Oreochromis niloticus: one gene and its partner. The protein of the gene in region 1 interacts with the protein of each later gene in a biochemical or structural test. Links are inferred from orthologs where the notes say so. Each region holds a gene or a part of one and is shown on either strand. Other genes may lie near its edges. The genes, in order: itga2b and rnf181.

Evidence for each region.
Region 2: the proteins of itga2b (region 1) and rnf181 form a complex in vitro, tested with the Homo sapiens proteins (2 studies listed by BioGRID). The link is inferred for Oreochromis niloticus from reciprocal best matches to the Homo sapiens genes ITGA2B and RNF181.

What each region holds. Positions count from the first base shown.
Region 1 is NC_031969.2:35,267,933-35,279,767, forward strand, and holds the start of itga2b (integrin alpha-IIb), read right to left. Parts: upstream 4,456-11,835; 5' UTR 4,402-4,455; coding exon 4,262-4,401; intron 1,976-4,261; coding exon 1,845-1,975; intron 1,383-1,844; coding exon 1,282-1,382; intron 1,170-1,281; coding exon 1,004-1,169; intron 930-1,003; coding exon 880-929; intron 864-879; exon of another isoform or gene 773-863; coding exon 727-772; exon of another isoform or gene 645-726; intron 544-644; exon of another isoform or gene 498-543; coding exon of another isoform or gene 476-497; coding exon 356-475; exon of another isoform or gene 236-355; intron 225-235; coding exon 180-224; intron 111-179; coding exon 67-110; intron 1-66. Other genes in the region: aquaporin-1-like, read right to left, coding at 8,921-9,082, 9,159-9,239, 10,039-10,458. UniProt on the Homo sapiens protein: Integrin alpha-IIb/beta-3 is a receptor for fibronectin, fibrinogen, plasminogen, prothrombin, thrombospondin and vitronectin. It recognizes the sequence R-G-D in a wide array of ligands.
Region 2 is NC_031977.2:8,679,529-8,691,079, forward strand, and holds rnf181 (E3 ubiquitin-protein ligase RNF181), read left to right. Parts: upstream 1-6,732; 5' UTR 6,733-6,855; coding exon 6,856-6,884; intron 6,885-7,583; coding exon 7,584-7,685; intron 7,686-7,768; coding exon 7,769-7,905; intron 7,906-8,040; coding exon 8,041-8,156; intron 8,157-8,257; coding exon 8,258-8,332; intron 8,333-8,429; coding exon 8,430-8,489; 3' UTR 8,490-8,934; downstream 8,935-11,551. Other genes in the region: pxnb (mucin-5AC), read left to right, coding at 1-1,069, 1,933-2,328.

The DNA of each region.
Region 1 (11,835 bases):
AATCCATAAAAAGCTGGAGAATAAAGTAGAAAACAGTAGAGAGTTAAAAAAAAGAAAGAATCTTACTGTTCCTGCTGTGTTTCTGTCATTTGGAACACCGACCAGATAATCTGAAACATAAACAGTGAGATGACCACTTACATTATGTCACATTATACTGTATTATATTGTAATATAACCTGGTGTGGAGTCTCCAGTCAGCAGGCCACTGGCCACTGAGTAACCTGAAACAAATTTGAACAGATTTCCAGTGAATTCTGGGAAGTGTAGTAACACCTGATAACAGCCAGAGCTGAGCCTTTATTCTTTAAATTTGAGTTTCCTGTCAGAATAAAAGCCTTCTTCAGCTACTCACCGTGGTAAACATCATAGCCTCCCCTCTCATCTGATTGGCTTATGCCCGCCACATATTTTATAGGATCATCACTCTTCCCACTGTTGATGATGTCATCAACACCAACAGTGATCACCTGACCTGCAATCAGCACAGTGTTCATCAGCGCTGATGTCAGCAGTGATGTCAGCACTTACCTGCAGGTGGTGGTAAGCAAGTTCTTTAAAGCAAAAAACAGACTGAGGCTGAAGTTTATTCTTAGCATTCTATGAATGTCAGTGACATTTTCACTATGTTTTCTTTCTTGTAGAACAGAATGTCCTGGTTCTGCGTTCAGGTCTATTCGAAGTGTAATGTGTAATTACAGTAAGTGGCCAACAGGGGGCCCTCACCCTGAAAGAAGAAGCTTCCGGGAGCTCCGAGCACTAGCCGACCGTCCTAAAACATGCAGGGACATGAAGCATTAGCGCCACCGTGTGGATCATCATTATCATCATGGTACTCTGTGATTCCCACAGGAATGACTCCACCCACCACCATCTCACCTTGGTGACATCAGCGGTGAAGCCAACCTCACAATATCGCTGGTCATTTCCTAGGCAACAAGAAACAGATGTAAGACAGGAAACAGGAAGTAGTCAGGCCCTTTGTCTCTGTGTGTCTTCTTACTGTTGTGCATGCGTTTGTAGTCTTCCTCCATCATGAGCCCTCTGCAGGGGGAGAAGGGGGTGGAGTTTCCTGTCTTGTGTTCCAATATGAGGCAGTTCCCCACAGGTGTTATCCCTGACTCCACCCCTCCCCTCTGAACATTCCAGTGGAAGAGCGGCGCACATGCCTGAGAGGTGCACAGCGAATGATGAATGAACTTCACAAAGAACTCACCTGCTGCTAGTCTGTCTGTAATGAGCTGTGCAGCCTGCAGATGGCGCCAACAGACCGCGACTTACTAGCAGATGTGTGCTGCCGACTGATCGCACCGCTGCGCCGAACCACTGCTGGCTCTTTAAGCTGAGAAACAACAGACCTGAACTGCGGTGGACCTCATCACCTGCAGCAAGTAAGATAAACACAGCGTGGTGTGTACAAGGTCAGGACCGTGAGATCATGTGAGGTCAGGATGTGGAAGCAGGTGATGCTGCTCTGAATGCAGGACTGAACGTTATGTTTTTCTTTTTAGTGTTATTAATCTCTGTCTCTCTTCCACAGCATGTCTTTATCCTGTTTTCCTTCTCTGACCCCAACCAGTCGCAGCAGATGGCCCCGCCCCTCCCTGAGCCTGGTTCTGCTGGAGGTTTCTTCCTGGTAAAAAGGAGTTTTTCCTTCCCACTGTCACCAAAGTGCTTGCTCATTGTTCTTTATTGTAGGGTCTACCTTACAATATAAAGCTCCTTGAGGCGACTGTTGTTGTGCTTGGCACTGTATAAATAAAACTGAATCGAATTGAAGTGTTCTTTTAAAGGTTGTGAAATTTCTGCTGACTGTGCAGGTCTTAAAAGTGTGCCAGACTCACCTGTCAGATCAAAGTCAATTATGTCACAGTCCCTGCCTCTGGATGACCAGGGGCAGAGGAACACACCCCCTGCCTCAGTCACTCCTGATTGGCTGGTGTTGGCTTTGGGAGCTCCAATGACAACAAAGGACCTGCAGAAAGATTCTGCTGCTTGAGTGTTACCGTGGCAATCAGAGCTCAGCAACATTTAAAGCGTAGGCTGCATCCCCCTGAGGCCGCATTTGTAGACCGATTACGTCACAGCGACGCTTCGAAGGCTGTCCCAATTCGTAGACTCATCCGAATGCAGCCGACAAATGCGTCCTCCTATTCCCCACATTTGAAGGATGGGTCGGGTGTGTCCTTCGTGGCCCAACATATCCCAGAATTCATAGCGCGGCCCAGCCAATTCCACTTTCCAACAAAGCAGCTACTAAGTTTTAATATTACTCTTATAAACTTTTAAGATATTTTCAGGCGAGAATGTAGCTGTGTAAACTTCAAATATCTGCTCCGTTTATCAAGACATCACATATTGTGGTCCGACGTTTTCGGAGGCATCTGTTACCCACCAGCTCAATAGCTAACCGGAGGGTTCAATGGTCACTCGAGCCGGCAAAAACAGCGGACTCCTGGCTTCATTGTTTTCAGCCCCCTGCGGTCTTTGGCTACTCAGGTTAAACATGATATATAAGCAGTGTTGGGGAGTAACGGAATACATGTACTGCCGTTACGTATTTAGAATACAAAATATGAGTAACTGTATTCCGTTACAGTTACCGTTTAAAAAGGTGGTATTCAGAATACAGTTACTTTGTTGAAATAAATGGATTACACGGCGGTACTTCCCTGTTTCATATTGTCGCGGGTCAGGACTGTTTGGGTTTGTTTGACAGCTACGTAATGTTGTTCCAGGCGGCAGCGTTACGGTTGCCATGGTTACAGGGTGACGCGCTCTCTCTCTGCGTGTTTCCTGGGTGAGAGAGCGCTTTGTTGTTGTTGTTGTTGCGCTAAGCTAATAGGCAGAATGCTACATGTATAGCCCTAAAGAATGTAGCATGATGGGCAGTGTAGTCCGTGCTGCAGCGAGAATGGACTACCGTACCCGTTATGTGTCTGTGAGCGAGGGAGGGAGAGAAAGGAAAAGTCCGAGCTGTCACGGAGCAAAAACGGGAGCTGGAAGCATGTAAATATAATAATAACCACTGCAGCCAAGAAGAGTGCCTGACGAGCCCATTTGTAAGTAAGCTATTAAGACTCAACTGTACACTGTGTTCGTGTTTTCCTCCGGAAAAATTAAGTTCCGTTGGAGCAGCCTTTCAACGCCTCTCTCTGTCTCTGGCAAGCAAAGTTGACCCAGACAACAAAGTAAAGCTAGTTTTCGGCTACCAGCCCGACACGGAACCCACCGTATTAGCCAGAGGTCCCTTTACTACGGTTCGGAGCCGCGGACCTTCAGTATCAGTAATAAATCACAGCAATAGTACATTCACGTAGTTGTAAACAGCACGATAATATATTAAGTAATCCAAAGTATTCAGAATACGTTACTCTCATTGAGTAATGTAACAGAATACGTTACAGAATACATTTTGGGGCATGTATTCAGTATTCTGTAATGGAATACATTTTAAAAGTAATCTTCCCAACACTGTATATAAGTCACTTAGATAACCTAAAAATGTTATTGTTTGACTTTTTTCAGTGTTTTATTTGTTCCTGAGTTTGGCTTAGTTTGGCTGAGATCAAAATTATTGGATTAGATTAGATTACGTAAAACTTTATTAATCACTCGGGTGGGTTCCTCCGGGATTTTCACACAGCTGAATAAACGTCAAACAGAAAACTGATTAAACAGAAGTGTGAGACGGTCGAGAATTTACGCCAGTGTCCTGTTATATTTAGATAGCAAGGAGCAGACAGCTGAGTTTATTAAACTCCACCGAGACAATGGTGACGCAAATCTGAAGGCTAGACTGCCCAATTTCACAGCCTCGCACTTCTGGCCTTCTCGGTCTACGAAAGACCCAACCCACGTAGACCGCGAAGGCCAGGTCCTCCGAAGGATGCAGCCTATGTTTTGGGACACAGCTTGTACCATGTGAAGCACCTGCATAAAGCAGGTGAGGAAATCAGGAAGTTACACAAACAGCTAAGAGAATCCTGTCAATTTTCAAAATAAAAGACCCTATGCAGCACAAACACACTGCTTCTGAAGCACTCCAGGTGTAATTTGAACCACAACAGATGTGCCAGGTGTATTTCAGCTGTTCATCCAATGAATGAGGAAAGTCTGCCTTAGGGTTTAACTTAGTTTACCCTTTATTTAATTTTTACAGACAGGGAATTCTAAGTTATATCCATGAAATAAGATCAGGGTCTGGGGAATGGACCCCTTCCTGTCTGAGCTGACACCCCAGGTATTTTCACCAACTTACTTGTTATTGATGGTGTGAAAGTCAACGGAGAATCCAAACAGACTTCCTGTCGGTCCTCTGAACATGACTTCATCCAGCAGGTTCAGACTCACACCCAGAGTCACACACAGCAGCACACACACACACCTGAACACACACATCCTGCTGTCTCACTGCTGCCTGCCCGACTGTGTGGAGTATGAAGTATCCGCTGTGTTTGAACTTATAAACTCTGTGTGTGTGTGTGTGTGTGTGTGTGTGTGTGTGTGTGTGTGTGTGTGTGTGTGTGTGTGTGTGTGTGTGTGCGTGCGTGTGTGTGTGTGTGTGTGCGTGTGTGTGTACATTGACAGATCATTGACAGCTAGTTGTGTCAGTTTAACTGCTGAGCTGCTGCTTCCTGTTGATAGGACCTAAAAATAAAAGCCTCCTTATCTGAGTTTCATGTTTCTGTGTTTGTGGTGAGTTCAGGGACATCCAGGAAATGACTCTGTCTTCTTCATCTTTGCACTTGGCTGTTGTTTATTATCGTTCTCAGAGTCATCAGTAACTCCTTCAAGTTATCTCTGTGAGGCCTGAATCATCTTCAGTGATGACAAGAAGCTGACACTTTGTATGTTTAATTGTGTGAAATGTCTTGAGGGAACAACACTAATCTTCACTTTATTTATTACAGACAGAATTAGTCCATGTCATGTTCCAGTGTTTATAAAATCTTGACGTATTGTGTCACCACTATTGAATTTCTTGACTCATTCAAACGGCACATAGTTCCTCAGTAAGACAGGAGAAGTTGGAACATTAGTTGAAACTGAACAGCAGCCACTAATCAACTACCTACAGTTTGGTGAGGGAACTGAGGCATGAGTGACATAAAGGAAATTGTGTAGTTGACGTCAGACATCGGAGATGTGGCGGAAAAAAATGAATGGTAGCTCCGAATAAACAAACTTTTTTCAAGCTTTAATTAATTAATTTTAAGAATCCACTTTGTTTTCCTCTCCTCCTCTTCGATTAACATCTAACTTATTCATGAATTAATTAATTCGATGTGATGTCATAATAGATAAATCAGCGTTAATCTCTGTAGCATAACAGTGTTAATTACAATGCTCTCTTTTAGTTAAAATATGTAAAACAAAAGTCAAAGTAAATGAAATTATTGATAAAAAAAACTCAGTTCTTAGATTCTTACACTGTTGTGACACTTACATATAGGGCCTTGGGAGTGGGCATACTGCACGGCATCCATAGGACAGTCTGTTTATTCAGCATCACCTCTGGTGCCCACCTCTCAGTTTTAATTACATGTAGACATTGAGGGTTCTCAGGAGGGGTCGTGCTGACACCTGCTGCTTCCTGGCAGAAAGCACTGCACCCCTCTCATGTGTTAAATACACTTTAGAACAACACGCCGTAACACCACATGTGTGTGGGCAGAGAGAGGTATGGGGTCTTCACATCCCCGTTCTCTGCTCGCCATCGGGGCGGGGGGCTGGGAGGAGGAGTTGGGCATCTGGTCGGGATCTGGGATGCTGGGCTTCCCTGGTGCTGCTGTGGGACCGGGAGCACTGTGTTTGTCTCCACCCCAGAGCAAAGGGCAAGGTCTCCTGTGTCTAGGGGCGGATTGCCCCTCTGGGGGTGATGGTACCTGGACCTGGGGTATAGAGTATGTATGGGGAGTGTGAGTGTGTGTACAGTGTTCATTTCTGTGTGTCTCCATGTTGGGCGAGTGCTGAGTATTTGTATATGTGTGCATGAGGGTGGGAATGCATGCTTGTGTCTGTGTGTGCCTGTTTGTGTATGTTTATGTGTCAGGTCGGGTCTTAGACTCCACCTCTTTACATCTCAGGTCCCCCCTAGGTGCGGGGACCTAAATCCCCTCCAACATGCTCCCTGCCAGTGGCTGGTGCCCCTACCCACCGGTGCCCGGGGCTGGGTGCTTGGGTGTGTAGTGGCTCACTCCTGGTGGATGCTTGCCGGGACCTGGCCCCCCTGGCTTTGTTGTGCATCATTAGTATTGTGCTGCTCAGTAACATTCAGTATTTATTATTTCCTGTTACTCATGCTGATGTTGGTTGTTGCCGTAGTTTCCCTGCTCTGTTCTTCGTTTTAGCAGGTGATGAAGCAGTTTTTCAGTGACAAAAATCTACATGCTGCCAATTGAGATATGCCAAACTGTGTTTAACTGTTCTGCAACAGTGACAATAAAGATCGATTCTATTCTATCAAGTGTACCAGTACAGCAAAAGTTGTAATGATCCACTTGGTAAAATAAATCTGTACAGTGCTATTTGACGTGCAGACGTCCGTAGTCATCCTCACTCACTCACATTCAAAATTATTTTGTTTTATGTTTAGTCTTTATGATTAAACATTTCATCTGAAACACAGGCTTACAGTAAGTTCAGGAATACTAACTCCTCACAGAGTTAAAGAGCTTTGGTGACCCTAACCCCACCATATGACTTTGGTATAACATATTGCAATATGCAGAGTAACATATATTGTTAATTATTATCTTTAAAGTGCAGATTACATCATCAAGGTGAAACTTTGTCAGTTTGTGTTTCAGGAAGATAAAGTTATCTAACTTCAGTTATTTTGTTGCCAAGCATGCAAACACTGCAGCCTGATTGTTAGGTTTATATTGTTGGATTGTCATTTATGCTTAGAAATATATACTCATATATGCTTAGAGTTTTATAATCGATTGCATATTGATAGGATGTCTGATCCTTAGCAGTCTGCAAAGACTCTCTGTGCCTCCCAGAGCACTCTGGCATGCACACACATCCTAAGGTCATGAGAAAGGTCGTACCTTCTCTTACTGATTTATGGTATAGGAGGACACCTACTCTGTATCTGTTCAAGTATAAGAGCCCTTTGTTTAGGTGGACCGCTGGACTCCTGGCACCAGCTTTGGGGAGTCGTTCACAGGGTCACATCTTGACACACACACACGCACGCACACAGACAGTACTCTTTGTTCACATGTATGCCTATGTAAGATGTCATATGTTAATGAACCTATGCATATTCATTTAACCTCAATAAAAGAGCAGTGCTACGGGGGAGCTGACTGAGAGTGACTGGGGTTCGAGCTGAAGGAATGGCGCTCGTCACAGTTCTCTCCCTCGTCCACGAGCAACACAAAGAACTTTGGTGACTTGCGTCTTGCTTTTGCTGTTGTAGTAGAATTGTCTTGGTGTTCCAGCAGTAGGCCTGTGCTAAACACACCTATCACTGATATAAATGATGCTAAAGTCAGTCTGCTATCAGTCAGCAATCGACTGGGTCAAGCTGGCATCTCAGGAAGTCTGTTATTGATAAGGCTGTCCTGTTTCTGCTGGTGTAAGTGAGCGATGTGTCGAGCTGAGCGTGTCCAGTATTGGAAGCTTTTTTCGTTTTATTGGATGTTAGTTTGCTAACGTCCAGGAGACGAGCCCTTTTGTTTGTAGTTTTCCAAAGCTATTTTCATTTATTTAATAAAATATACATATTTGTCCTGTATCAATACAATATGGCCACGAAAAATATCATGCTGCCTTTATTTTTCCCACAGCCCTGTCAGAAACAGAGTGCATTTATGATTTATTTACATCTACATGTGTGAAGATCTGAAGCAGGAAAACCTTCCTGTTTGTGATGTGTACTGAGTGCAGTTTTTAACTGCCCCACATGAACATCACACACACCACTGTCTGTCAGAACTATCATTCTGCCTGTTGTTATGCAGTCCTGTGTTGACTGTTTGTAGCACCGTGGTGTTGGAGGAACGCTGTCATTCCCACCGTATGCTGTACCACTGCACACGGTGGGAATGACAGTAAAGCTGCTTGACTTGAAACAGCCTGATGTCTTTACCACTTTTTCCACTTGGTCAGACAGTCATGATGTCAGCACAAGTCATCAACAGCTGAACAACAAAACTGTCTTAAACTTTGTGTTCACTCCAACATGAACCTCCCACCACTGCACGCCATAACTGTTCCTCTTTTATTGCAGGCCTCTCTTGGAAATGAGGTTTGAATCTTAAACAAAGGATTAATAAACATGTCCCGCAAACATTTTACTCACAAGTTTCAGCATTTTTACTGGATTCATTTACGCTGACAGTAAAAAGCAATGTGAGACCACAGCTCAGCTCTGAAACAGGAAACTAATGCATGATAACATGACCTGAGTCACATCCTGAGAAAATGAAAAATAATACAGTTTAACAGACACATTACTCAGTGAGGCAATAAACGTACCTGATGAAGGCTGGAAAAAGCATCAAACATGTTGTTAAAAGACACAAAGTTTAAAGGCTGAGCTGACTGAAATGGCACGGTCTGTGTCCGTGAACAACCCTTCTACTCTGAGGAGTTTATGTGGATGAGGTTCAGTTGATTCTGCACGGACAGTTTTTCAGGTGTTTAATGTCATTAACGAAGGTGCTGCAGTTTATTTTTGCTGTGAGATGATTTTATTCATCACATTTCTCTGAAAAACATTTAACATGGTTGTGAGGACTTCAGAGCAAATGTTAAAGTGTTCAGACAAAGCCGTGACGCACGTGTTTACAGATGCACATAAGATAATAAAATCAGGTCTTATATTGAGCAAAAACAGAAACTGGACCTCATACCGTCCCTGTTTGCTGCAGTTTGGCCTCGGTCCTACAAAATGGTGCATTAGTTACGGTAAGTGAGACGCCACCTGCTGTTGTTTCTCTGTTAACACATACAGTTGCTTTAGCTCCACCCACCAGTCTCCAGGGCGATGCCAGCGAGGCCGTAGCAACAGGTCATTCAGGAAAGCAGCAAGACACGCCCCCAAACTAGGCCCCACCCAGAAAACCTGCACAAAAGCAACCAATCAGATCTGAGTATGAGTCTGCATTAGTGTGTGTGTGTGTGTGTGTGTGTGTTGTTACCCAGTGGTTGTTGAAGTTGAGTGTGATGACCGCCGGACCAAAGGAGCGAGCTGGATTCATCCCACAACCTGTCACACTTACCTGAGAGTGAGAGACATTTTTATCTGCATTACACCTGCAGATAAAAAGCTAAATGAAAGTGTGTGTGTGTGATTACAGTCAGATACTAGAAATAACAGCATGCAGGTGCTTACAGCCACCAGGTGCCCCAAACTGATGGCTAGGCCCACTAACAGCGGAGGCACCACATCCGGCAGGGGTAGTATATTTAGTAGTATATTTTATTACTACCAGTAATTTATTGCCGTTTACTTGTATTTGCTTAATTGTTTACTAAATGTTTGAGGTGTGAAATAAACCGCAATGGAGCAAAATATGGGTGTGTGTGTTTGGAGGATGTGTTTGTGGGGGGGTTAGGTGGTGGGGGGCGCGAACATTTTTCTTGTAAAAAAGGGGGGCCTGGCAAAAAAAGTTTGGGAACCACTGTGTTAATAGACCTCTCTGCACTGAATCATGCTTGTTATTAATCTCTGTCTCTCTTCCACAGGATGTCTTTATCCTGTCTTCCTTCTCTCACCCCAACCGGTCACAGCAGATGGCCCCGCCGCTCCCTGAGCCTGGCTCTGCCGGAGGTTTCTTCCTGTTAAAAGGGAGTTTTTCCTTCCCACTGTCGCCAAAGTGCTTGCAAATAAAGGACTGTCTGATTGTTGTTAGGTTTTTTCTGTATTATTGTGGAGTCTTTACTTTATTTATTTATTTATTTTTTTTCTTTTAGTCTTTACTTTATAATGTCACCAACACCAGCGGTGATCACCTCATCTGCAACTGTTTGCAGATGATTTGGTGCTAGACGTATAAAACTTAACTAAATGAAGCTTACCTGGTTGAGTGCATGTGTGACATCTCCAGTCAGTCCCAGCAACAGCACTGCAGAAGCCACACCCCCCAAGAGCTGACCAATCACATACAACACCGCCCTCCAGAGCCGAAGCCTTGAGGTCGGGACCATTGCTAGGGTAATCGCTGGATTCAGGTGAGCACCCCCTCCCACACAGATGGCTGCCATAGCAACAGAGACACCAAAGACCAGCACCACATGCAGCGGGCACACAGGTGAGACAGGTCCAGACTGGTGCACACCTGCTGGCAGGTGGCTTGAGTGGGAAGGCTGCATCACGACAGCTGATAGGCTGACAGACAGGAAGAGGGTGGACCCTAAGAACTCCAGTAGAAAGCGATGTAAGCATGATGGGGTGATGATGTCACTGAGGACAAGATGCAGGTAACGAAGGATGAACATCGTTAAATCAGTGACCTAAAGCAGATCAACAGGTGAGACATAGGTGAGTCAGAGGGGGAGGTCATTAGATTCCTGTACTTTTGATTCTTTTTGTTTTACTCCCCACAGGTAAACCCAAATATCTCCTCACAGTCTCAAACAGACTATAACACATTTCAGGTAAGTCTTTATTTCCTGCACCTTCAAATGTCAAACTGATGTGAGCCTAAACTGAGGAAACAGAAACGCATTAGTCTGTCGATCAAAGAGACGAAACAGACAAAAACATCTATGCATTATTTATACTCAGGGTTAAAGTGGGCAGAGCTATCCCAAGCAGCATTCATGTTGCACACGTCTGTAGGTTGTGATCAGGGTACTTTAGCTAGTGCTACATTAGAGCAGTGTCAGGTAATTTACATTTCCCAGCAGCCTTGTACTGTGCAGGTGTGAAATCAGCCATGAATGCGTGAGCAACATCAGCTTAGACCTTGTTGGATTCAGTTAAAGCCAAAAAGAGCAGCAGTGGTCAGCTGATCACAGTAGAAATTACTGTTCCTCACGCCACACCGCTACACCCGATCTCAGAGCTCCTCCCCCTGCTAAATCCCACCGTGACCCCTGACTGGACCCGTGCTGCCGTTCAGGTGTGGAGGCAGAGGCGAACATCTGACACAGCCAGCTTTTATTTGCTTTTTCCTGGATCACAGATGTTCAGCTGATATTCATTAGAATTAGAAGTGAAGTTGGACAAACTTTACTGTTACTTCATTGTTATATTAATACGACATGAGGTACAGTCTCCTTTGCACACATTCGAGGTAGAAACGCTCTTTTTTACCTTCATACGGAGTCAGAGCCTGTACTTTTGCACTGTTACTGGACTAAAGAAGCTTCAGCTGAAACTTTAAGGTAAAGTTTTTGGTCATCAGTACGGCAGGTGAAACGTTCGAGGCTGAAACCCTAACACTAACCCTAATAAGAGCATAGGAAACATCACAGTCTGAACAGATCGCTAAACACCTGTCACCTGCTCTCAGCTGTCCTGAGCAGACACCTGGCCCACAGCTTACGCAGAATGCACCAATCAGAAACAGATGAAATATCAGGTTTCTGCTCCTCTGCGTCAGGGACATGAAACTGACAGATCATCTCAGTGATGCTCACAGGACAGAAGATCAAAGATGCTGAAGTAAAAACACCAAATCTGGAGCCACTGCTGAAATATTCACAGCATGAAGGTCAAAGGTCAAAATCTGCTGATTCTGAGGCCCAATAGGGACTTGGTTCATTATTGCATAGAATAACTCGGGTGAGACAGAGGACACACTGGAGTGATACAGGTGTGTGTGAATGTGAAAAAACTAGATTATTAAGATCACTCATATTCAGTTATAT
Region 2 (11,551 bases), on another chromosome or scaffold:
ACCCCACCCAAGCCGTCTCTCTCCACACAGTCCTACATCCTCATATTCTGCAACCAGTGAACTAGACCTGGACTCTGTCATAGATGTCTCTGCCACCATGCTATCATCTCAAACCAAGTCTCTGCTAGTCCTCTCTCAGTCTGCTTCCTCTAACTCCAACCTGCTAAGAAATAGCCCAAGTCCTTCCAATACCACTACCCCCTCCCTTACCTCAGTTATCACTGTCCTGGACCACAAGTCCTCCAAGTCCCCAAGTCCATCTGTAGAACGGGTCTCACCCTCAGCTTCTGGAGGTAAATCCTCTTGTGCTCCTGAGAGTGTAAGCAAGGGTTCTCCTTGTTTTTATGATCTCGATGTCAGTTTCTCCTCTTCGTCTTTACTTACTACCCAGAACCTCACCCCTCAGGTCTCAGCCCCCTCACCCCTCCCCGTTTTTGTCTCTCTGTCCCCACCTTCAAAAACATCTTCACCATCTCCAGTCTCGCCACTAATAGTCTCTTCTCCAATGGCCTTTAATAACCACAACAGACAATTGCTGGAGACAGCACCCGCAACCCATACAACCACCACCTTCACTGTACAGCAACCGCCTGTGGTAGAGCCATCCCTGGATGAGGCACTAGACAAGCTTCTAGCAATGAGTTTTTCACAAAATCACACAATGGCGAATGTGGATGGACCTCAGCTGAAGAATGATGCAGAGTGTCTAGGCAGAGGAATGCAGGAGGTGCACGAGGAGCTTATCCTGCCCTTGGACAGAAGCAGTGTCCAGCCAGACACTTTCACCAACACTTTTACAGACGATTCAGTGGACGGAGGAACAGACGGGAACGGAGACCTGGACTGGGCAGACGAAGAGCTGTCCATGTCCTTACATGACGGTCTGGATGGCACCATGACCCCTTACACTGAGAGGCTCTATACAGATGGCAGCATGACCCCACTGACAGAGGCCAGTTGGATGGATGAGTCCATGACCCCATCGTCATGCCCCGGGACCCCTGACGTCACCCTGGACCTGCCCCTGCTTCAGACACCCACTATAGACAGAGTCTCAGCATCTGGACATGTACGCTTCGCCGGGCCTGCCTGATTTTAAAATAGGCTTGTTTTGCTAGCTAATGAGACTGATGCTCCTATGAATCCCAGCCTCTGCTGCAAGGGTTTATCTTGCATGTTTCTTGAAAAACTAAAACATGGCATCTAATATTTTATCTGCTATTTTGACCACTACTATGATCCTTACATCAGATACAATTATGATTGATTTATTAGCTTTCAGTATCATCAGGGCTGTGATTGGCCAAAGTCTTGAGCTCGATTCTTTTCATCCCTGTAAACAGACCTTGGAGGAGATGCGTGATTTGAGATCCTGTCAGACAATTTCATTAATAATATGGTGCCCAGTTACTCCAAAAATATATTGCATACCCCCAATTTAGCCAGGCAAATAAACCAGGCGGAAAAACGCAATATGTTTAAGCTTTGATCGATATATAGAAACTACATGTATTTGTTTAGAAGAAAATGCCTTGTAAGTAAGAGGCTGAAGGAGCTGAAGCAAGCTAATTAATAGGTTTTGCTTGGAAACTACACTTACAACTAACCTGCTGTTTGGTAGCACCAGCACTCTGCATGGCACCACTGCATTTGTGTGAAGGACCAAACTGAGAGCTGATGTTTATGTGGCTGCTTGAGAAACTGAAGGATGAGAGTTAGATCATCGATAGCAGTGGCTTCTGATGAAAGCATGCGTAAAGTTCCTAATATGGGACTCTGAGCTCAGTGACCACTGCTTTGCCGGCATGTCAGTGACTTGAAAACGGCTGGTGTGACTGACCTGCTGCCTCAGTGCTCTGCTGTAAGTGCTTGAGCTTGTAAATTGGAGTGGACATATGATAAGGTGTTCACTCCCTCCCTCCCTGCTCTTAGATAAAATCAGTTATTAGGCGCACTAAGGAGACTCCCAATGTGCACCCCATGTACCGAGAGGCTCACCTGCGCAGGAAGATGGGACCCATCATTGTAAACAAGAACTCTTCCCAGGACCGTCTCATAGAGGAGCTTCAGGGTAAGCTTGGGATCGGCCGCTCAGAACGGCGGCGCAAACAGTCCGATGATTGGCTGACGGAGGGTGTCATCATCACGTCCAAACCTCAGCGATATCGTCCCGATGGGGCGGCCAGTGAGGTCGACAAGGTTGGCTTCAGTGTGCTTGCCAGTTTCCACAAATTCTCCTTTTGCAGTTGTTTCACTTTTGTTTTCCTTTTCTGCACATTTCCTGTCTCCTTCCTTCCTTCTGTTTTTCCTCTTTTCTTCAGATCATAATTCCCCCCGAGTCGCCTGTCCCTGTGAGGAAGGTGCTCCCACCTCCCTCTCCCCCTACCCCTCGTCGCCCCCTGTCATAGAAGAACCTAAGCGACCCCTCCCAGTACAGCACCCCCCTGTCCCAATACCACCCCCACCTCCTCCACCTCCTTCACCACCTCCACAACGTACCCACCACATTCACGAACCAGTTCCCGCTCCACCTCGGCAGTTCATAAAACCCTCACCTCCACCGGCTCCAGTCCAGAACCCTTCTACACCTAAACCAGAGCCGCCTCTTCCTGTCCTAAAAACCCCAACCCAGCCACCAACAGTGGACTCGGTTCCCCCAGTTGCACCCAAAGTCCTGGTCTCTGTAGGCTGCCAAACTGAGTATGACCCCATCTTCCCTCCAATGCAGGCATGAACCCCTCCCTCTTTTATTCCTTCTGTTTTTCACGCTTATTTTAAAGTTTAGTATCCCAAAACTTAAATAGTTTTGTTACATTTCAACAGTAAATAACTATTTTCATACTGAACCATTTCAGATTATGGCCCAAGGGAAGGGTGGTGTCTCCGGTGGGCCCCCGACACAGGTCAACAAGCTGGACAACATGCTTGGCAGCCTGCAGTCTGACCTCAACAAACTGGGCGTGCAGACAGTAGCTAAAGGAGTTTGCGGAGCCTGCTGTAAGCCGATTGTGGGACAGGTGAGATGGTTCGGTTAAGGTAATCTTTTGTCTGTAACATAAATTGATGTTTGCTAACCATGCTTCGGTTATCTGTTTTTTTTTGTCGTTTATTTTTTAGGTGGTGACCGCCATGGGCCGCACATGGCACCCCGAACACTTTGTGTGCACACACTGTCAAGAGGAAATCGGCTCCAGGAACTTTTTTGAACGTGAAGGACAGCCCTACTGTGAGAAAGATTACCACAATCTGTTCTCTCCGCGGTGCTACTACTGCAACGGGCCCATCCTGGATGTGAGTCACTGCTCTCCACACATGTGGTCTCTGCTGTAGACGTGTCAGCCAATAATAAATGTCTTCAATGTCCATTCAGAAAGTTGTGACGGCGCTGGATAGGACATGGCATCCCGAACACTTCTTCTGCGCTCAGTGTGGCTCTTTCTTTGGCCCTGAGGGTAAAGTGATACAAGTATATTTTTTTTAATCATACTGCTTAGCAGTTTCTCTCTACTTCAGAGTGGATATAATCTCTTGTCTCTTTCTACTTTCAGGTTTTCATGAAAAGGATGGAAAGGCCTACTGCAGGAAAGATTACTTTGACATGTTTGCACCGAAATGCGGCGGCTGTGCCAGAGCCATTCTGGAAAATTACATCTCAGCTCTGAACTGTCTTTGGCATCCCGAGTGTTTTGTTTGCAGGGTTAGTGTTATGCTTAAGTCAGGAACTTTTCCTTAATAGTTTGCACGCCTTGTAAGAAAAAGAGTACTAAAATAATAATGTGTGTGTGTGTCTCTGCAGGAGTGCTTCACCCCGTTTGTGAATGGAAGCTTTTTTGAGCATGACGGCCAACCCTACTGTGAAGTGCACTACCACGAGCGTCGCGGCTCCCTCTGCTCCGGCTGCCAGAAGCCCATCACGGGGCGCTGCATCACAGCCATGTCCAAGAAGTTTCACCCAGAGCATTTTGTCTGTGCCTTCTGCCTGAAACAGCTCAACAAAGGCACCTTTAAAGAGCAAAACGATAAACCCTACTGCCACGGCTGCTTCATCAAGCTGTTCAGTTAGAGAGTTAGGGGGAATGTTTAACACTGGCACACTTGGGTCAGGGCTAAAATGAGAGTCTGAAGCATTTCTAGCACAGGGAGAGTGAGAACGGGTTTAGTTTGTATCACAGGAAGCTGTCTCTGGATGATGGCGTTGGAAGTGTGTATGGGCTAAGTATGTGCATGTGGTTGAAGCGGTGTGCTGCTTCTGCCAGACTAAATGTTTTTCATGTCATTCAGATTTTTTTTTTTTTTTGATTGACAGCAGTTTATTTGTGAAGCTTTTTATGTGTTGTGAGCGGGTGACTATATCGGATGAGGGTGTATTTGGTCTTTAAAGGAAAATCCCCCCCCCCTCCAAATCAGCAACTTTTCTCCCAGTCTACTTAGATGTGCTGAAACAAACAGCTGTCTCTGTTTTGTTTTGTTTGTTTGTTTTGAGTGTGTGTGTGTGTGTGTGTGTGTGTGTGTGTGTGTGTGTGTATGTATGTGTGTAATCCTCAAATCATTTTATTTTTTATCTTTTTAGAAGGTGATAAATTGTTACTAAGCACACTGAAACTCTGATCTATGAAACGCTCGGTGTGTGGTGAAGTTACTCACTGGTTGAGTGCGTCATTTTAGAAATCAAATAAAATGAACATATGGCAGGGAACAGGTGACCTGTTGTTTTTACACAATATAAACACTTTTTTTTTTTTTTTAAACAAATGATCAGGATAAAAGGCTTTTTACTTTCTCCCTTCCCTAGTCTAAAGTCAGATAAGGCACATCTTTATATAACTGATAAAGTTGTGTTTTATGGTGAAATGCATCTTTAGTGTCCCTTGACCAAAAACCCCTTTCTAGTATGTCATATTTTAATTAAAGATGCATACTGTGTTACAAAGCAGTCAAGGGCAAACTGAGCATGGATTAATATTTGACTCAACAGTCACTGCGGTGTTCACTCTTCATTACACGTGCTGCCAAATCATTCCTTTTGATTCCTCTGAATTAAAGCGAGTCTAAAAGCAGTTTGTTGGATTTGCGTCACCTAAAGTGAAACTGCACAGAGATATTGGGAGTACGGTGTTTTTGCGCTACACTACCATTACTGTTTCTGAGTACATCCTGAGAAGTTTTTGTTGTTGTTTGTTGTACATATCCAATGCAGCTACATTGTAAGCATGTACATGTGTTTAATAACCACTCGTTAAAAGAAGGAAAGGGCTGCTGGGAAGGCATAGCGGAGATATTTGGATGTCTTTGCTGATATTACTGTATCGAGAAGCTGATGAATGTTTGTTTTTGAGAGAATGCAAACCGTACACACAATTTGCCTGTGATATTCCGATAACTATGCAACTGTGGATTAACAGCTTTGTATTTCAGCATCAGCATCTATTTCTTAGGCTGTCTGTGCCATTGTATCATGTCTAATAACACTGGCAAATTCAGCAAAAAATACTGAGAGCAGGTCAAGAGTCCGCTGTTCTGTTTTCATGTTATTAGTCTGTGAGTTTGTAAAAATGAGAGCCTGGTGGTCTGCTAGAATAACTGGTAGGACTAGGATGACTCGTCTCCCTCAGCGTCTGAGGAGCATCTACTGTATGACCACCAGGTTGGGGTTCTGTACAACGTTATTCATACACAGCAGACAGATTTGGCCTTTTGTCTTGTTCAGGGAATTCTAGAGCCTTAATTCTTTCTTCTTTTTTTTTCTCACTGTATTTAAGATATCCTGTAACAGTCATCTTTTCAAAATGACTTTCGTAGAGGTTATTTAACCAAAGCCATACCTTCTTTCAGTTTTTCTTGTCTGTTCACTTTGTTTTTTCTTTTCACTTTGAATGTCAATAGATACAAATAGTGAGATTACTCTGTTCTAGCCTGATTATGCCAATAAATTCAGTTTTGGTATCAAAATGTCATCCAAGGGTCTAATTTATGCTAAGCTTTTACTTTGTGTGTAGCTGTTACCCTTAAGCTTTGCAATTTCTTAGCTTCTAGAGAAGCTTTGCATGATTCACAGGTAAAAATGACCCTTATTTATCTTGGTACAGTCTTACACAAGCTGTTTTAGCTTTCTAGTCCTTCCCTTTAAGATAGCCATCTTCTGATTGACTGAATAGTGCAGACAAAAGGTTTAAAGAGAAGATGAGTGTAGCTTTATTAAGGATACCTGCTCTCACTGAAATCATCAAAAACACTCACAGAGATTGCTTGTACACGCGACGACTTCATTATGTAAAGTTTAATTCATCACAGTTAAATAGATAATAATCATCATAGGTCCACTTTAATCAGACATTAGTCCAGCTGTATAGCACCTCTTTCAGGACGAGGTAAGAGCCCTCTTCTTCTGCTTATCCACTTCAGGGTCACAGCTGGGTGATAGGCAGAGTACACCCTGGAGAGGTCACAGAGCTAATGCATAGATTATTCATGCTCACACCTTTACACCTTTAGTTAATTTAAAATCCCCAATGGGGATCAAGATACGCATAGGATTCAAACCCACAACCTTCACAGCACCCTGCTGTCCCTACTCACTATGATAAGTTAGCCCTTTTTATTTAAGCAATTCTACAAAATCTAGGCAGAAGGTCCGTATTATTCATCACCTATAGATTAGAAAAATAATAAATAAATGATTCGTTTCCGTACAGAAACCCTTTGAAAGTTCAGTGTTTGGGAACGTCTTTCACCGATTGTGGGCGCTAGTGAGACATTTTGCACGCTTACGTAGACAAACAAAACAGAAGACGAGGAAAACCAAACCTCTACTGTGATTGGACGAGGAGTCACGTGGCTATCTTCCTACCCGGAAAGATGACAAATGTTTCTTTGCAAGATTTCAGGTGAGTCGACCAAATTTATCAGGTCGGGAATAGTTTTAAGACAATAAATTCTTTTTGTATTTTATGATTGGACAAAGCTCGTGTAAGGGTTGGTGTTTCCGGTAGTTCAGTGTGGAGGCTATTTGTAATGTGGAAGAGCCTTTGAGCCATTGTTGGTCGTTAACGTCGAAGCGGCTGGCTCACTGTTTACACAGTTCGGCTGGAAAACGCTTTTTGCGATGTTCTCAGTTTTATATTTTGAAGTTTTATTTGTATCCTTAATACGTGAACAGAATTTGCTAAGTTGAGCAGTTTTCTCTTTTGTTTTCACGTAATAAAGCAAGTAGCCCAGGTCGATGGTATCTCTGCGCTGACTCGTGTTTTTGTTGTTATCTGCCCCCCTCCCCCTCTATTGTGATCGAGTCCCCAAGGAAAGCCTTTATTGTAAAACATGACCGGACTGTGTTTCAGATCCCCATCACACTCTCTTTGAATGTTTATCCTGAACAAAACTGAAGTTACAAAACAACATCAGTCCCTGCCATCAAGGCACATATATATCTGCTTTCCAGTATGATTGGCATAGCTGTGTTTCTCGTACTTTCCTGCACGGTGCTCACTCATCAATCGCATTCCTCAGCTTTTCATTTTCACTGTCTGTTGTAGAGCCAAGCTTTAATGAAAGCATGTCTCATGCCTGATTTCTGTTGTTGTGAACAGGACATACTGGGCGGAAATGGCATCCTACTTTGATGAACACAACTGCGAGCCCACCGACCCCGAGGAGCAGTACCGCCAGAATGCTCTCCTTGAGATGGCCAGGTGAGGGCGAGCAAACAAAGAGGCTTTATTCTCATGTCTGCAGCGCTCTGACTGACTGTTGGTGTCTGCGTTGGTGTTTACAGGTATTTGATACAGGGCTTGGACTGGATCGACGCACGCTATGCTGGCATGTCAAGCTGGGACCAGAGGCTTCCTCCTCCAGCTGCCAAAACTGCTGTTCAGACCCTCACTGTGATCGTTATAACTGCTGAACAAGCAGGTAGACAGAAGCACGAGAATTAACTGCGCTGACATTTAGATTGATGATCAGCCCATTAAGAAAGGGCAGAAAATCTACGTAAGCGTGCATAGTACCTGAGATTTTGATGTGGCTTTTTGTTTTTCATTCTCACAGGCAGAGGTCTCAAGTGTCCTGTGTGTCTGCTGGAGTTCGAGGAGCAGCAAACGGCTCGAGAAATGCCTTGCAAACACCTTTTCCACTCAGGATGTATACTCCCATGGTTGGACAAGGTAACGCTCCCGTGTTTGTGCTTCTCTTTGAAATAGAAAACACACGATCGTGACCTCTTACAAATCCTTTTTTCTTTTTCTTTGTCGTCTTTAAACTTTAGACCAACTCCTGTCCGCTCTGCCGACTTGAATTACCCACCGATAATGCAGACTATGAGCAGTTTAAAAAAGACAAGGTGGGTGTGTTTGAGTGTGTCCTGTCCTCACGTTTAACGGTACATTTATCGTGGCATTAGCTGAATATTGTTATTTATTTATTTTTCTGATCTGCAGGAGAGAAGGAAACAGAGCGAGCATCGGCTGGAGGGCCTGCATGGAGCCATGTACACATGACGCTGCAGTGCTGTTGGGCAAGGTTGTGGCACATTGACATTTTAGTTTAATGAAAGCTTGAGAAGTGCATAAAGCTGCATTCGCACACCATTTCACACAGTGTAGTTTCACGCTCAGGGATGGGGAAACAGTGTGAAATATTTGGCAAAATATCAGCAATAAAATTGTAATACTGAAAAAATGGACCACAGTAAAATAAAAACAACACATCAGTTTATCTGGAATGACTTTATGTTGGGCAATCGGGATGACTGTCGAGGATTAGTGTGAACAGGCTCCTGGTCTCCCGACTCTGTTGACGTGGTGTGAATGCAGTGTAAGCAACAAGGTCATTAAACATTTAAAATGCTCGTTTTCTCACTAGCTAGGACCATTATACTTCCACATCCTGTTGCCAGCAGAGCGCTCTCAGACACAGCAGCTGCTTTTTCTTTTCCTCTAAAAACAAACCAACAAAAAAACCCAACTTTGTAGGCTATAAATGGACAAAATCTGTTCGTCTGTATTTGTTCAACAACTATGAAGTAATTATGATTTGTAATTTATGATTTTAACCTCTGTCTGCTGCTGTTCTTACTTCTTCATAAAATAAAATAAAAATAAATTAAAAAATGATTTTATTTTGGTTGTTTTTTTTAATCAAAAGCTTAATTTTAAAAGAATCGCCAACAAGCTTAGCGGAAGTCAAATTCTGGGTTGCCCGTTGTTCACGGATAAATGCCCGCATCTTTCAAACTCCATGTTCCCAGTAGAGAACGGGCTTTTTTTTGTACATTTGCAGTCTCAGCAGATTTTTCTGTCTGTTCCTCGTGCTGAGTAATTTGATCTGTAACTGGGAAGATTTGTGGAGTTCCCCTTCAGCTGGTCCCATGATGTTGTTTTTAATTTTAGAGAAAACACTAGCTGTCCTGTAGCCTATCTGGAGTGAATATTAAGAACACAATCTGCACAGAATTGGTTTTGATGCTCCTGAATCATATGACAATCTTCAAACTGCGTCCACGTCACAGTGGTAATGTGGGAAACATTACCAGAAGACAGTTGCCCTGATGAAAGGGATGATGAAATTAAAATAGAAGCTGATTTGTAGAGTTGAACTAATTTTGCCGTTTATATAACGTTGTAGTTTACACATTCACTGAGTGTTTTTGAGAGCCCAAGAGCCCCGGTCTGATCCCAGGAGGAGATCTGAATTCCTTCGGGGTTGCGTCAGGAGGGGCATCCCACACAGAAGAAAATAATCTTCTAAATCGAAGACACAGCAGCTGAAAGTAACATTGAGGAAACAAAGGGAATTCTGTGCGTTTAAAATAGTCCATGAAAGCCACATGCTAATAATTTATCATTTTTATTTCATATTTGAATATAAATCTCTGTCAAATGAAAATACCTAAATGATAGACAAAAATCATACATATTTACAGAATTTATAAAAAACAAACAATTTGTGTTGACTTGATTTCAGGGATTTGTCAGACTCGTGATTACCATTCCTTTACATACTCTTCAAATTCAAAAGAAAAATAGGACCAGTAAAGTTTTTCTGTGTTGTTAAAGTTCAAGACGTACAGTTCAGGCGGCTTTTTGTAATACAGTGTTCTTACACAAACAACCTAATGATCTGACTGCATATTGAAGTGCACATTTGGATAGAAAGAAAAAAAATAAAATAATGAAATCCACTTTAATTTAATATTTGGCGTGTGGAAGATGGCATTATGGTATAGATGCTGTAACAGAATAATCCCAGCCCCAATGTGAGGACTCAAACAAGCTGCCATTGGGAGTCAAACTGCATGACTCAGTTACAGTATAGCAAAACAGGTTACAGGTGAACACATGAGAAGAAGGGGAAAAAAAAAAAAAAAAAAAAAGTACAATAAAAGATGTAATGGTAAAACAGAAAAGACACAAAAAAATTTTTTTAACTCAACCTGGAGTAGATTTGTCTTTTTGGCAAGTTTTGCAGGACAAACAGGATTGACAAAACAGACACATGATTGTGCATCCTGTGTAACAGTGCATCCACTGTGCTGTTACACAGGATGCTGACACTTCTTAGGACAGACACTTGCAGACAGAGCCGCAGACTGCCGACTCGCCATAACATTAAATACCTCAAACGCTGCGAGATGGAAAAGGTTTCACAACTGTATTCTGCACTACAAGCTTTCACCTTCTGGTAACATCCAACTGACAAACGATAGAGGTAGGTGACCTTTTAAAAAAAGAAGGAAAAAAAAAAAGTATTGCTGGCATCCAGTGTTTCAGACAGTTTAAAATGACTCAACACTATGCAGAGGGCAGAATACTGTGCATCTGTGAAACACACCTCATTCACTCCAACATAAAGAAATGTAACAGGCAGCATTAGCCAGCTGCTGTTTGACCAGTGGTGATGTGTGGCAGTCTGGTGTTGAGCTACAACAAAGATAACAACTTAAGAGAAATTGGCAACAACACAATTAAAAAAAAACAAAAACGCATTACATAAAGCACTTTGACATCAGTCTACAGCCTGTATCATATGTACCTCTCCTGTGAATAAATCACACTACCTTGGGCTTCACATCACTTCATACTGAAACAAAACGCTGGTCGATGAACTCAAATAAGGCTTCCAAGGGTCCAGCTTGGAATCACATCAATGTGCAAACAAGAACTGCGTTATTCTCAAATGCCAAAGTCGATTCTTGTTTTAACTCACATGCGAGCTTGTTTTATCATAACATGGGCTTTAAATGTCTGTCAGAACCAAAGAGAAGGTTTGCGTTAAACTCATTATCACATGACTGATGGCAGTTATTGCGTGGACATCGGTGAAATAAAGGGTAACATGAAATGTTAGCATTCCAAAGAAACTGACTACAAATTAATGGAACGACATAAAGGAGATGACAATTATCATTGATTCATTTCCATGCTGCTCGCACACGAGGGACGCAGGCCCAAGATACACATTTACACGTTTTTAAAAAAATTATTTAAAAAGTACCTTGACCATCTGAATTCAAATTATCTGTGCAACCAAACCAAAGGCAGGTGCAATAATTAATTTATGC